Neurospora crassa OR74A: one gene and its partners. The protein of the gene in region 2 interacts with the protein of the main gene of each other region in a biochemical or structural test. Links are inferred from orthologs where the notes say so. Each region holds a gene or a part of one and is shown on either strand. Other genes may lie near its edges. The genes, in order: amyc, rho-1 and pkc.

Evidence for each region.
Region 1: the proteins of rho-1 (region 2) and amyc form a complex in vitro, tested with the Saccharomyces cerevisiae proteins (2 studies listed by BioGRID, with this or other methods). The link is inferred for Neurospora crassa OR74A from reciprocal best matches to the Saccharomyces cerevisiae genes RHO1 and LRG1.
Region 3: the proteins of rho-1 (region 2) and pkc form a complex in vitro, tested with the Saccharomyces cerevisiae proteins (4 studies listed by BioGRID). The link is inferred for Neurospora crassa OR74A from reciprocal best matches to the Saccharomyces cerevisiae genes RHO1 and PKC1.

The regions. Positions count from the first base shown.
Region 1 is NC_026501.1:3,211,608-3,216,302, reverse strand, and holds the start of amyc (LIM and Rho-GAP domain-containing protein), read left to right. Parts: upstream 1-1,442; 5' UTR 1,443-2,413; coding exon 2,414-2,788; intron 2,789-2,846; coding exon 2,847-3,537; intron 3,538-3,609; coding exon 3,610-4,695. UniProt on the Saccharomyces cerevisiae protein: Acts in signal transduction. Activates CDC42, RHO1 and RHO2. Negatively regulates 1,3-beta-glucan synthesis. May be responsible for the down-regulation of CDC42 during mating.
Region 2 is NC_026502.1:3,340,622-3,345,417, forward strand, and holds rho-1 (rho-type GTPase), read left to right. Parts: upstream 1-1,578; 5' UTR 1,579-2,040; coding exon 2,041-2,111; intron 2,112-2,247; coding exon 2,248-2,275; intron 2,276-2,539; coding exon 2,540-2,737; intron 2,738-2,808; coding exon 2,809-2,943; intron 2,944-3,044; coding exon 3,045-3,200; 3' UTR 3,201-4,079; downstream 4,080-4,796. UniProt on the Saccharomyces cerevisiae protein: Acts as a central regulator in the cell wall integrity signaling pathway, which is regulated by the cell cycle and in response to various types of cell wall stress.
Region 3 is NC_026504.1:1,589,474-1,593,978, forward strand, and holds the start of pkc (protein kinase C-like protein), read left to right. Parts: upstream 1-1,331; 5' UTR 1,332-1,977; coding exon 1,978-2,413; intron 2,414-2,487; coding exon 2,488-2,751; intron 2,752-2,819; coding exon 2,820-3,794; intron 3,795-3,847; coding exon 3,848-4,505. UniProt on the Saccharomyces cerevisiae protein: Required for cell growth and for the G2->M transition of the cell division cycle. Mediates a protein kinase cascade; it activates BCK1 which itself activates MKK1/MKK2.

The DNA of each region.
Region 1 (4,695 bases), on a different chromosome or scaffold from region 2:
GTTGAATTTAGGAACACGGAGCAATGCATGATGTGATTACTGGCGAGCCAGAAGTTTTGTGAGGACGTTGATATACGTAGGGGCCATGTATCATGTTTATTGCTGAGACCTTGATGAAGAGGGGTTCCATGTGGAAGGTGAACAGAAACCTCAAGGGGTTCATATTGCCCAATATTCTTTTTCCACTCTCGGGTCTCATGCCTGAGCAAGGTCTCCACTTGTCGTTGACATCCAAGACCCTCACTTCCCAGTCATCTCAGCCGCGCGCTGTCCATCATCTTCCTCACCTCGAACATGACAAAAATATCAAGCATGCAGAAAGATGATGCTGCGAAGCAGGCTGGCAGTACAACAGTCAGGGACCTCGAGATACGCCGAGCTTTGCTTGGAAGAGGTAGGCGCCTCTTCGATATATTGATAGGGGGGTGACCATGTTTAGAGCTTTTTGTCATGTTTTATTTTTCATTCTCGTTTTTCTTTGGATGTACATGAATGGATGTCATCCCCCGTGCCTGGGTAATGCTGTGTTACCTCCCATCATCCCATGTGGATGCTGCTGTATACGACTTCCCCTTCCCGCCCCTCGTTCCTGACGAGGTTTCCCAAACATCCAAGTGACAGGGCACACGTGTTATTTGCATGCAAACCGCGGCTGGCCCCCTTCCGTTCGCAGTACCTAGTCGGAGTAGTAGCTCGTGTCGGGCTGTTCCGTCCACAGGGCCACACGCACAGATCGAGGATTAACATCCCGTCTCTACACTACTAAATGCCTGTCTGCTCGCCCTCGACGCACCGTAAGAGGGATCTCCGCTGCCTGTTTTTGTGTCATCTTCTTATATCCTTCTCTGCAGGCGCCCGCCCTGGTAGTTGTCATTATTTTATTATTATTTTGATTCACGTTGCCGGGTAGCCCAGGCCTGATGTTAGACCAAAGGTACCTAGGTAGGTAGGTAGGAAAGTCGGATGGAAATGCTACCAGGCTGGTCCTATTCCACCTCGTTTTTAGAGGCAGGCCTGGAAATTGCACTCCGCCGTTGTGGCGGGGCCCGTAGATCGCTGTTGCTGGTGCTGTTGCTGTTGCTGCTCCGAAGTCATTGTTCCCGTCCGTTAGGTTCAAGTAGGTAGGTTGTTGCTGGAGGTACCTGACTAAAAGTGCAGGGACAGATCCGCTGGAATCTCGCCCTGAGGTGGTGGCCCAAACTTACAAGGAAATCCACAACCTCAATGCAGCAAAACACCCAGGGACACCTGCAGCCTACTTAGGTACCTAGAGGTGTATGTACTGTACCTACCTCCAGGTACCCGACGCACCGGGCCGCTGGCACCGACGGGACTGCGTGAGGTGGTCAGTAGAGGTACTAGTAGGTAGGTACCGTGACCTCTAGGTCTTGAGGTTTGGACTAACACCCGACCGCACTTCCACCGCGGACTACCTCTATGACCGCCCAAGTACAGGCGACACCACGCCCGACCGCAAGCCCAGGTTCCCTTCTCCAGTGCTACCAATCGACCGTCCTCCCCCCGGCCACCTCCACGCCCTTGTGGCCGCCGCCTCGCCAAACCCCGACCTTAGCGCCCCGACATCTCGATACACTTCGTGTACAAGCAGCAGCAGCAGCAGAGAGGCACTCAGTCGGGCGTCCCGTCTCGCCAGCCATCGCAATCCCGTCCCCCGTCCACCGTTACGTCCACTTGTCCACCGATACGGTCACCGTCCACCGCTTATACCACCGCCGCCGACTGATTGGCGCCGACTGCACTCAGCGCGCCGTGATCGTGATTCGAGTTCGACCAGCTCGACCCCATATATCCATCTTCACCCCGTGGCCGTCGACGCCCTTTTCCCGACCGACTGACGATTGCCCGATCCTTGCTTGCCCAGGCCTGACTGAACACACTGGGCCGGCGCCCGAGTTCATAATCAACGACCACGAACGCTTTCCAAGCCCCTGTCCGCTACACCGGCCCGGGTCATCAAACTACTATCCCCTTCTACCTCTCGACACCATTGAGTTCACGTCGACAACAACCATCCACGCCGTGTCTCCATCGAGGCGGCCAACACCAAAGCCCTTCATCCCTCCAGTCGCAACTAACCCCTAACTGTCGGGCTCGCCAGAACAGCGCGCTAGGCAGTTACGCGCACGACTATAGACCGACTGGCAAACCCTCGACTGCGGCTGTTGCGGTGTCGTTTTGCGACATCTGGCATTTAGTTTGCCGTATCCCTTTCGTCTCGACCAACTCGGCTTGAGCCCCCGCTTGATGTGGACGTACGCGCCTTTGTCTGCCAACCTACATCCATAATCCGCCGCGTTCGCGATCGCTGCTCGCCCCTCTTTGGAAAATACATTGAAACATTTTAAGAGCTTGGGGTTTCGAACTACATCAAGGGTCCAAGACCGACATCGAGATGGCCAGCTCAGACTACGGCGGCGGCCCCGTAGGCGACCGCGAATACACCCATGGACATCCCCAGGGGCACCCACAAGGTGAAGTTGCGCATCGGCGAGAGGACGAGCATCTTGATATCACACCAACGATATCACAAAACGGCGCCCCTACAAATGCCCACTTGACTCGCATTCCAGGATCGCCTGCGCTGAGCGCCGCCGATGCTACAGATCTCGAATCAAGACGCAGTGGGGAGAAGAACCGGTCGAAGCCAAAGGGGTCGAGGACAGCTAGCGGACAAGTGCGAGTGTGCAAGAAATGTGGTGAACCTTTGACGGGCCAGTTTGTTCGCGCACTCGATGGGACCTTTCATTTGGATTGCTTCAAGTGTCGCGTGAGTGCCTGTTTCAGCCGCCCGTTGTGGACTTTGTGGCTAACCAGCTCATGTGCAGGACTGCGGTCAAATTGTGGCTTCCAAGTTCTTCCCAGCCGACGACAACAACGGCGAGGGTCAGTATCCGCTCTGCGAGACGGATTACTTTCGCAGGTTAGGCCTGCTGTGTTACCAGTGTGGCGGTGCTCTTCGGGGCTCTTACATCACGGCCCTCGATCGCAAATACCACGTCGACCACTTTACCTGCTCGCTTTGCCCGACTGTCTTTGGCGCTCAGGATAGCTACTACGAGCATGATGGACATGTTTACTGCCATTACCACTATTCGACACAGTACGCCCAACGTTGCAGTGGCTGCCAGACTGCCATCCTCAAGCAGTTTGTCGAGATATTCCGAAACGGTCAAAATCAACACTGGCATCCGGAATGCTACATGATTCACAAGTTCTGGAACGTCAGGTTAAATCCCCCACAGAAAGCTCTCGGGCCGGTGCCAGATGACCCTGCTGGCCGTGAACTAGTTCGGGACGAAGAGGAACGCATGGAGGAGAAGGTCTACCGTATTTGGAGTGTGCTTTCGACTTTCGAAGAGTCGTCGGCGGCTTGCATATCCGATATGCTTCTCCACGTGAGCAATGGAGCATATGTCGACGGTGTCATGGTAGCTAAAAAGTTCATATGGCACGTTGATATATTGTTCCACTCAGCGGATAGGCTTGACGCTACCATGGAACGGCTAGATATGACAGGTGAGAAAATCCCCCAGGATGCTTGAGCGCATCCCCGAAACGCTGATGATGATGGTGGCTAATGAATTATAGGCCTAATGTATGGAAGAGAAGCCAAGCTTCTGTGCAAGAAGATCGTAGCATTCTTTTCGCTACTCTCTAAAACACAGGATAAGGGTGCCCGTAAGCTCGGTGTTACCCAAGAACTGTTAACACTCGTTACTGGTTTAGCCCATTACCTGAAGCTCCTTATTCGAATCTGCTTACAAGGGGCATTGCGGATCGAGAAGGAGCGCGACACCGCCGATGGTCTCGATGGGTTTCTGGATGAGCTCAATGATCTTGAGGCGCTAAAGACCGAAGATAACTCGACGACGACGCTGCAGCTAACGTCCGGCATGGCTCGCCTCTCGGCCTCGGACTCGGACTCGTGTACCCTCTGCAAAAAGCCCATTGAGGACGAGTGTGCAAAGAGCGGCGACAAGAGGTGGCATATCACGTGTGTCAACTGCTCACGTTGCCAGAAAGAACTCGGCCGGAGTCTACAAGATGCCCGACTCAACCTGTACGATTCCAAGATTTTTTGCAACAACTGCGAAACGTACAGCTCGGATAAGGCACCGCCCTTTGAACGCGTGTCCAAGCTGCAGCAGTATATGTTCCTGCTCCAGGTGGCATTGGCGAGGTTATTGGAGATCCTACGCATGCACGGCGCGCTTCCGTCCGCCGCTGAAGCAAGGGGTCACAATGGAATTGATGCAGGCGATGGCCGTCCGTTAATGGATGGTAGACAGAGAGGTTTCCCCGGGGGCGATCAGTCACTACATCATCGAGAATCGTCCTATGAGAGCGCTCTTAATGATGTCAAGAGGCTGAAGAGCACTCGCTTGGATAAGCACCTCTCCTCAAGCTTTAGGAAAGCCAGGACGTCCCGAATTATGGATGGACCCGAGAGTAGCAGTGCGCAGCCCGGGTCCGGGCCTGGTTCAGGCATCGATGGTGGACCAGCTAATGGCAGGAGAATGCGAATCGAGGAGGATATGGGACCCGGGGACGACCACGATATGATGCTGCCTAATCAGGATGCCCTCACCCTTGCGGACATTCCTCGGATTGTTGCTGCTGAGCAGGCACGAGAACAACGAACAGGTCCGCCTAGTAGGCATGAGCTGTTGCGTT
Region 2 (4,796 bases):
GGCGTTCCTTCCGTCCTCTCGAAGCAGTGGTGGCTGCCGCCCGTCACCTCCCAGCCCCGGACAATTCACTTCGTTGGACAATGGAGGGGACCAGAGTGAACCGACGGGTAGGACTTTGGGAACCATCATGGGGGTGGTAGGACTTGTAATTTGGCATCTAACACCGTGGCTGACTGACTGACTGACTGTTGACGGCTGACGGATGACGGGTGGCAGCTGACGCTTCCTTCTCCAGCCTCCCTCTCTCCTATCCCGTTTCGTCATCCACCAAGTCAACAAGCTCACGTCAATGCCATGGCAACCGAGATGTTCGCAATTCAAGAGACTGGTCTGCTATCTAGATGCGGCTGGGCACCGACACTTTGCTGACCGCTCCGTCTCTTGGTATATACTGTGTAGTGTATCGACAGCCGAGAGGAAATGGGGTATAGTGTGGTGTACATACTGCGTATGCCAACAAGACAGGAGCTTCCATGTTTTTAATATCATGTCCCGTCCTTCCTCCCACCCCATCCCCTTCCTCCATGTTCACTACTAGACTGTCAAGAGAGTCCTGGACCCTGATAATGGATGGCTGAGAACAAAGCCCAGAGCTATCAGCAAATTACTACCTATGTAGTGTACACTAGGGACACCCAAAATAGGCGACCGGAAGGAAGAGGCCCATGGCGCACTGTGCCTGTTCCTGTACCTTTTGGCGTTGGTTCAGGGGTTCTGGGCAGGCAGTCTGGAGATTAGCAGTTATCGCCGCCGCCCACTGGACCATCTTTGCTGCTGGAGACTCGCCTCGCCTGCCTTCGCTCGCTCGCAAAGCTTCCACTTCCTCTGAGTACACTACTAAAATCCTGGGGGGCCACGGCAGCAGCGCGTGCTTTCCCCCTTTGATCGACAGCCAGCCGAGCCAGCGCAGCGTGTCGGGTGTCGGATTACTGCGGTATGGATGTCTAAAAGTGGTTCGAGTGGTAATTTGGCCCGTCCCCACCGTGCACTTTTGCGCTTGTCATCAAAGTTGAAGAAACAAAAAAAAAAAAAAAGGTCGAGAGTCATGTTCGGGAGATGGCCTTATTAGCCTTATGCAGCAAGTCCGGGGTAGCGAAAAAGGGGAACAGGAAGGAACATGACGACGACGATTTCAAGGTCGGTCCACTATTAATATCACCAAAATCAGCTCTCTTTTCGCGTGCAAATAGCTGAATTACGGTAATGGAGGTGACGGTGTTAATTGTAGAAGAGGACCGGTACGTACCGCTTGCTGAGGATTCGGGCCACTCACAAGTCACATCAAGCCAGCACCTCCCTTGTCTGGCCCTTTGCTCTTGGCTCGTCTCGCACCCCTACCGGCTCCTGTACAAGTGATGGGGTATTCCGACACAAAATGCAGTATCTAGGTAGGGACCTAGTGTGTTGGATGAAAAATTAGGTCGGTAGGTGTCGTCTGCCTTCCTCTTACCACACAGTACCTGTAGCCTCCAGGCTGCGACTGCTGCCAGATGGGACTGTGTGAACCCGACTGAGTGACTGCCTGTGCCTGGACAGCCCGCCCGTTCCCTGGGGCTTCTCTGGGGCTACCCACTGCCTCGCTCACCTCACCACACACGGCAGCACCCACTGCCCTCCCAGCCCAGTCTGACTGCCCGGCCCTGGTTCGCTGGCTAAGGTTTCCACCCTCTTCCAACCTTGCCCGTGGGAGTCCTGCACCTGGCTATCTGGTGGTCCCCCCGTCCCCGTTCCCCGTCTCCGTCTCCGTCACAACACAACTCACAACTTGAACAGGTTAGCACACCACCAGCGGCCACTACCTACCTACCTACCACCACCACCGTCCATCCTTCAACAACCACCCAACACCCCCATCTCCATTTTCCTTCCCTTTTCCATTTTGCATCTTTTATCGACCAAATCCAGGCCGCGTGATACCCTCTCCCGTCCTTTGCATACAACCCGTCGACAACGAACAAAGCACCGTCCGTCGACATCACTCAACTCAACTAAACAACTTAATCTCTCCTCCCCTATTCACACAACCACCAAACCGACGCCATGTCTGCTGAACTCCGCCGAAAGCTCGTCATCGTTGGCGATGGTGCCTGCGGCAAGACCTGTTTGTTGATGTATGTCCATTTCCCCTATCCACATCCAAGAGATTGATGCTGCTCTTATAAGGCGCGCGTCGTCGTCGTTGTCGTCGTCGTCGTCGTCACCGCCGCTCTCCCCCCATCACAACCTTTTTGCTAACCGAATTTCCAGCGTCTTCTCCAAGGGAACCTTCCCCGAGGTAAGTCAGGCACTTGTCTGTCGGGACTGAGACGTCCATCTACACACCTGCCCTCGACCGTCTGTTCGCTACACCGCCCCAACCGCCTGACGAAACACGCATCTTCCTGCCAATTCCCGCGTCTCGCCTCCCCCCCCGAACAGGCTACATCCATCTCCTCAGCCCGATGAACCATCAAGCCATCAAATTCGAAACACCCGCCCTGTCGCCATCATATCCGCATCCGAATAAGCGCTGCTCAGCCAGCTAACTCTCTGCGCCCAGGTCTACGTCCCTACCGTTTTCGAGAACTACGTCGCCGATGTCGAGGTTGATGGCAGACACGTCGAGCTCGCGCTATGGGATACGGCTGGTCAGGAGGATTATGACCGTCTCCGTCCCCTGTCCTACCCCGACTCTCACGTCGTCTTGATCTGCTTCGCCATCGACTCTCCCGATTCGCTCGACAACGTTTCCGAGAAGGTCAGTATCCCGCCTGCTTACTTGGCGCGCCCTTGTCTTTGAGGCTACAATTCGCTAACAATCAAAAACAGTGGCACTCTGAGGTTCTTCACTTCTGCCGTGACGTTCCAATCATCCTCGTTGGCTGCAAGAAGGATTTGCGCCACGACCCCAAGACCATTGAGGAGCTCCGCAAGACCAGCCAGAAGCCCGTTTCCCCCGAAGAGGTACGTGAGGCTGAGACATTGGCGGCTGATGATGCCCCTTTTGTTTCCAAGTGCTTTCCCTCCGCTTGCTCGGGAATGTATGCTAACGCGCTCATCAACAGGGTGAGGCTCTGAGGAAGAGGATCAACGCCCACAAGTACCTCGAGTGCTCGGCCAAGACCAACGAGGGTGTCCGTGAGGTGTTCGAGAACGCGACAAGAGCCGCCCTTCTCAAGAAGACAAAGACGAAGAGGGGCCTCTGCAAGAGCTCGGTCTAAACAAACCCACAGCTCTTTAGAGAGATGCTTTTATTTCTACCGCACGACGAACAACATCATCTGCACCAAGCCCTCCCCGGATAGCCTCGCAACATGTAATCAAGCAACGGTTTTCAAAGCGAAAGATGATCATCACCTTAGTTGATAATTCTCTGCCCATGACGCCGTCAATGCTGCTACCGAGCGGATAATATTTCACAGAGAGAAGAAGAAAGGGGTGTGGAGAGCGCAAATGGGGAGGGGCTTGGGATTTCGGGGATACTTATGGGCCTTACTACTCGATATTTAGGGAGGATAACTGGGTCTGGACTCCTTTCCACTATTTCTGTGTGTGTGTGTGGTCGGCGTGGACGGGTGCGTGGCTTGTGTTCATGTATACACAAACGGAGGACACCTGAGGGCGGTAAAGGGAAAGAGAAAGACTGGAGAAAGGAGTTTTGCGGTTCAATATTTCTTGTTTCTTCTGGAATCACATGCCGCGTCTCTGGCCCCCCTTACCTGTCTCCTTTATTTCTCTTTCTCTGTCACTGCCCGTGTGCGTCTGTCTCTTATCTCTCTCTCTGTGTCTACCTGTCTGTTATTAATCTCTAGTTTTATCGCGTTCTTGTTTATCTGTCTCCGTCTGCTGCTGCCGCTGCATGGTTCAAATTGGGATTTTGAGATTGAATGTTCCGTATAGTTTGGGCGATCGGCATGGCGAGGCCGCCGAATGTCCCTGCTACTTCCATAGACCGTTGACGACAATTGCTGTTACCTACTGTACATCCTCAGACCATTCATTGCCCGTCCCCTCTTGCAATACTCATGTCAACCACTGACACGAGCACAGACTTCTTCTACGTCAGTCAGCCCGTTTGTCTACTTAGTCTTTGAATCCGAAGTTCAGTAATCATCACGCTTTGCCGACTATGCAATCCGACGGGAGAGGCCGCCGCCAGCTCCAGACCCAAACGTGAAACAGTTGATTGAATGAAGGACGTCATGTCTATCAAGGGTAAACCTAGTTAATGTTCCCGAGTCATCACACTCAGCGCGTGAGGTATGCCAGAAAGGCATGATTGGTCTTGACAGCCAACGAAGCTAACACTTGCAAGTAAGCTATGATGTGCCATACATTATACACTTTGCATCTCGAACACTCTCTGGGACTTCTTCATCATAGCCAACAGAGGGGGGAAAGAAGCGGTAAACATAACACTTTCAAAAGAATATATATAAATATATATACGCTCCCCGCTGTCAATTCCTTTCAGTTCTTCAGTTCCTTGATAACCTACTCGACGCAGGAGGTAAATATTCATTCAGGTATCTAGCTCTAGCTCTGGGTAGGAGGCAAGGTAAGGTTTGGTACCTCTAGTCAAGTCAACCAACCAACCAACCAACCAACCGAACGACGTAGACAAAAGTCCGTCGCTCGCTTTCTCCTTCTCCTTCTCCTTCTCCTTCTCCTCCCCTCCCCTTCCTCCCAGGACAGAAGTCTGCTTGTTGTCTTGTCTTGTCTTGTCTTCTTGATACTTTGATATTTGGGAGCGAACAAGAAAAAAAAAAGATCAGAAGTATGTACATCCCACACAAGAAAGACTCCATTCTACTCTA
Region 3 (4,505 bases), on a different chromosome or scaffold from region 2:
GACTTTTCGGGCGATGGTGTTCTCAAAAGTCAGGCGGTTAACATGTGAGGTCTTTATACACAGACCAACCTTTGAGATTTGTTAGTGCGAAACTTACAACGTCTTCTGACAAGGCAGAAAGAGGACATGATTTTCAGGCGGTTCTATTGGTCCAAACCGAGCTAGAGTCAGGTTATGAACAACAATTGATGGTGTCCCATACATATGTCTCGCACCAAAATTTGACTGTACTTATAGCGAGCAATAAGCAGGATTGGCGCCTACCTCTAGCCATCTTGAAAGTGCCATGTTAACAAACTTTTCGAGGGTGAACTGTTGACAGCATGTTCCTTCACTAGGACGAGTGAAAGAAAGTCGACTGCGTGATCCAAGTCCCCAAAGTGTGATTCGGCATGCCCAATCACAGCCCTCCAAACTCAAGCGGTTCAAGGTGCGCCACCAACTGAACTCAAGTGCACGCACCCGTTTCGATACTGCGCCCACTGACACCCCTCGGTCTCCGGGCTTCCAATCCCATGTCCCAAGCCCAAGTGCGGAAGGGAAGTCCTACCAGCGCCCTGCACCACCATTTCAACAGTCCTACGGTTCGGTATCAGCGCACCAGGCAGACCAGGCCATCCACTCCCGTCGTGACGGTGTCGTATAGGTATCGATGTGTGGAGGTGCCCATCTTCTGTTCGGGTAGTCATTGCCTGTGGCTGCCCAACAGTCTGTCTGTGTGAGCTGTGCGTGATATGCAAACAAAAGGGTTCCATTCCAAGAGGGTCGCTGCTGTTAGTGTTGTTGACTGTTTGAAAATGCGCCGATTCGGAACCATCTGATGCCAAGACGAGGCTATCGTAGATTTTTGTTAGTTCCCAAGAACCACCCCCCTTTGGATGATGGGGTGGTAAAGAACACTGCATGGAATGGGCTCGTCGCGCCTAAATTCAAAGAACAAACGGGGACTGTTGGCCTCGAGATTTCCCGCTTAGTATGTGCGGTTCTCGTATATCCCTAGGTGTATTAGATTTCATTGTTCTCGTGATGATGGATATACTAAAGAATGAAAGACACCTAGCGGGCGAGGTACCTGACTGGGAACCGGAAGTCCAGTCGACAAATTGAAGTGTTGGACTTGGACCAAAACCACGCGATCCCCGCCTCTTCAAGGGGAAAAGTGGACGTTGCTAACAAGGAAGTGACCTGCCCGCCTTTGCCCCGAACTGCCTGTGCGTACTTCGACCGCTCAGCGTGCAGTACCAGGCATCGTCGTCTCTCGTCTGGATGCCCACTGGCTGTTTGGCTCGTCGAATCGACAAGGGCCGCCGCCGCCAAACCTATGCGAAACACACAAAACCCCGCCATCGTTAGCATCATACCTCTCTCTGCAGTACCTGCTAATCTGCTGCCACCTTGAGCCTTTCCATCTTGCACATTGAAGCCTCCTCGTTCAGTCCCGTCGAAAAAGGCAAAACCCGCCTTTTCTCTCTGTTAATGCTAATTGCTGCCCCGCCGCCACTATCTCCTCCATTACCTACCTACCTACCTCTACCTACCCGACGTCTAGGTCCAGCAGCGTAGCACTCCAATCAGTGTCTGCCTTATAAAGTGTCCATAGCACCTAGAGGTACCCTCGACCTCCATCCATCCCTCCTGGCTGGACCTCCTTATCCGTCCTCGCTGCCAAGTTGCCTTCCTGGCTCGCCTCGCCTTCCACCCGGGAAGTGCTCAACTTGACCGTCCATCAACAACCACCACGACGCATCCGTTGCATGTCATACTGGCATGCCAGCAGCATTTTAGTCGTCCGGATCAAATCCCGTCGTCCTCCCTCTCTCCCTCCCCCCCCTCCCCCGCTCTCCCACTGCCGACACCGACTCCGACACCGTCACCGTCGGACATTAGTATTGCCAGGAGCATCTTTACCTTTCATCCTCTCCAAAGTAATCCATCTCCCACCGTCGCCATCGGTCCGCCGGGCCCAATACCGCCACCATGAACGACGAAGACAAGGTCCACGACATCTCCAAGAAGATCGAGCGCGAAAAGGCTCTGATCAATGCTGCGCAGGCCATGCGCCAGCAGACAAACAATGAGCAGGTCCGCTCCAAGCTCGACACCCAGATGCGCGAAGGGAGGAGGAATCTCGAGTTCTTCGAGGAGAAGCTGCGCGAACTGCAGATGAGGAGACTCGGCCATGGCGTCGACAACATGTCGCTTGGTGCCAGCCCAATGTCCGGCTCCCACCGACAGTCCGTTGATGACTTCGAGGGCTACGGCGCCCCCTCTCCTCCCCCCAAGGAGGACGTACGCGGCCACAGCTCTCACCAGAGTCAGGGCAGCGGTCCTCTGATGCCCGCCTCTGCTCCTTATCCCGGTGGTCCTCCTGACTCTAATGTTCCACGGGCGCGTCCTAATTATACAAGGCTCGGTAAGTTGGACATCTTCCTTGGACCAGTCCCCCTTTAGACATATTCTGTGTGACTGACGTTGAGGGAACTGCAGATCTAATCAAGTTCGATACCCCACATCTTGGACCTCGCATCCAGCTGATGTTGTCCCAAATCCAGTTCAAGCTCAACGTGGAAGAACAGTACCTAAAGGGCATTGAGAAGATGGTACAGCTCTATCAGATGGAAGGTGATAAGAAGAGCAAGCTTGACGCTGCCGCCAAGCGTGTCGAAAGTAAACAAAAGATTGTCCTCTTGAAGCAGGCACTCAAGAGATATGAAGAGTTGCACATCGACATTGATGTTGATGGTCCAGATGGTAGAATTCCTTCCCCCACATGCTGCTTTCACCAGCACTCCTTTTACTAACTTTGAATGTGACTATAGACGACAGCATCAACCTGCCAGCCCTTAGGAAACCCCTGAGCGGTACTCTTTCTATTCGCATTCTCGCTGTAAAGGATGTCGACCATGCGCCCCTCGGTCGTTTCGCTCGCTCCCCCGAAACATTCATCGCTGTTAAGGCCGAAGATATAGTTGTTGCGCGCACAAAGCCTTCGCGAAACGACAAGTGGGAAGCCGAATTCCACACTTTCCCGGTCGATAAGACGAACGAAATCGAGTTTACGGTTTATGATAAGCCCGCCGAGCATCCCGTGCCTATCGCCATGCTCTGGGTCAGAATCTCGGACATCGTCGAGGAACTTCGCCGAAAGAAGATCGAGGCCGAAATGACGTCCGCAGGTTGGGTTTCGGCGGACCGCGTTGGCTCCAGAGCTCCTCCGCCGCAATTCCCAATGGGCGCCCAGAGTCCTCAGTTTGCGGCACCGCCAACATCCCCTGGATCACAGGAGCAAAACACCATGATCCCACCCCAGGCGCCTCCGCCATCCCAAGTTGTTTCACAGCCTGTAGACGGTTGGTTCAACCTGGAGCCTTATGGCCAGATCCACCTCAGTTTTAACTTCATCAAGGGGGCTCGTCCTCAGGGCATGGACAGGCTGGGTCGCAAGGGTGCTGTCCGCCAGCGCAAGGAGGAAGTTCACGAGATGTATGGACACAAGTTTGTCCAGAAGCAGTTCTACAACATTATGCGCTGTGCGCTATGCGGCGATTTCCTCAAGTACTCCGCTGGTATGCAGTGCGAGGATTGCAAGTACACCTGCCACACCAAGTGCTACACCAGCGTTGTTACCAAGTGCATCAGCAAGAGTAATGCCGAGACTGATCCTGACGAGGAAAAGATCAATCACCGCATCCCCCATCGCTTCATTCCTTTCTCCAACCTTACTGCCAACTGGTGCTGCCACTGCGGTTACATGCTACCAATTGGATCCAAGAAGAACTCGAGGAAGTGTTCAGGTATGTCGAGTTCGCCCCTGTTTTGGAGCCCCATATGCTGACAATTATGACAGAATGTGCTCTTACAGCCCACGCGCAATGCGTGCATCTTGTTCCTGACTTCTGTGGCATGTCTATGGCTGTCGCCAACCAGATCTTGGAGGGTATGCGAACGCAGAAGAAGACTCATAAGGATAAGGCGTCCTCGATGAGTGAGCGTACCCTTAGGCCGGGGAGCAAAACTTCCATCTCGTCCGGGTCGATCGCTCAGGCATCGACGTATAGCGGTTCGACTGCTTATACGTCAATCGCTTCGCCCGAGGCAACTGAGGCTGCCAAGCTTATGTACAGCCAGACAACGCCCAGGCCAGGCGGCCCCGACAGGACCTCTACCAGCTCAACAACCGCCTCGGCGGCTGCGGCTGCGGCTATGGCACCAAAGCATAGCTCTCAGCCTTCGCAAGCCGGTTCGATACCCGACTTTGGTGGTTCCCCTGGCTATGGACGACCGGATTCTCGGGACGACGAGTACTCCGCCCAGCAGCAGCAGGGATATGGCTCGCCGCAGCAACGGAAGTATAACCCGGCGGACTATGCTAATATCGACGCCTACTCAAGCCCACAGGCTCGTCCACAACAGCAACAGCAGCAGCAACAACAGACACCTCAGCAGGTCTCACCAATGTATCAGCAGAATCCTCAGACGCCTATTAGCAAGCCTCAGCCTGTGGC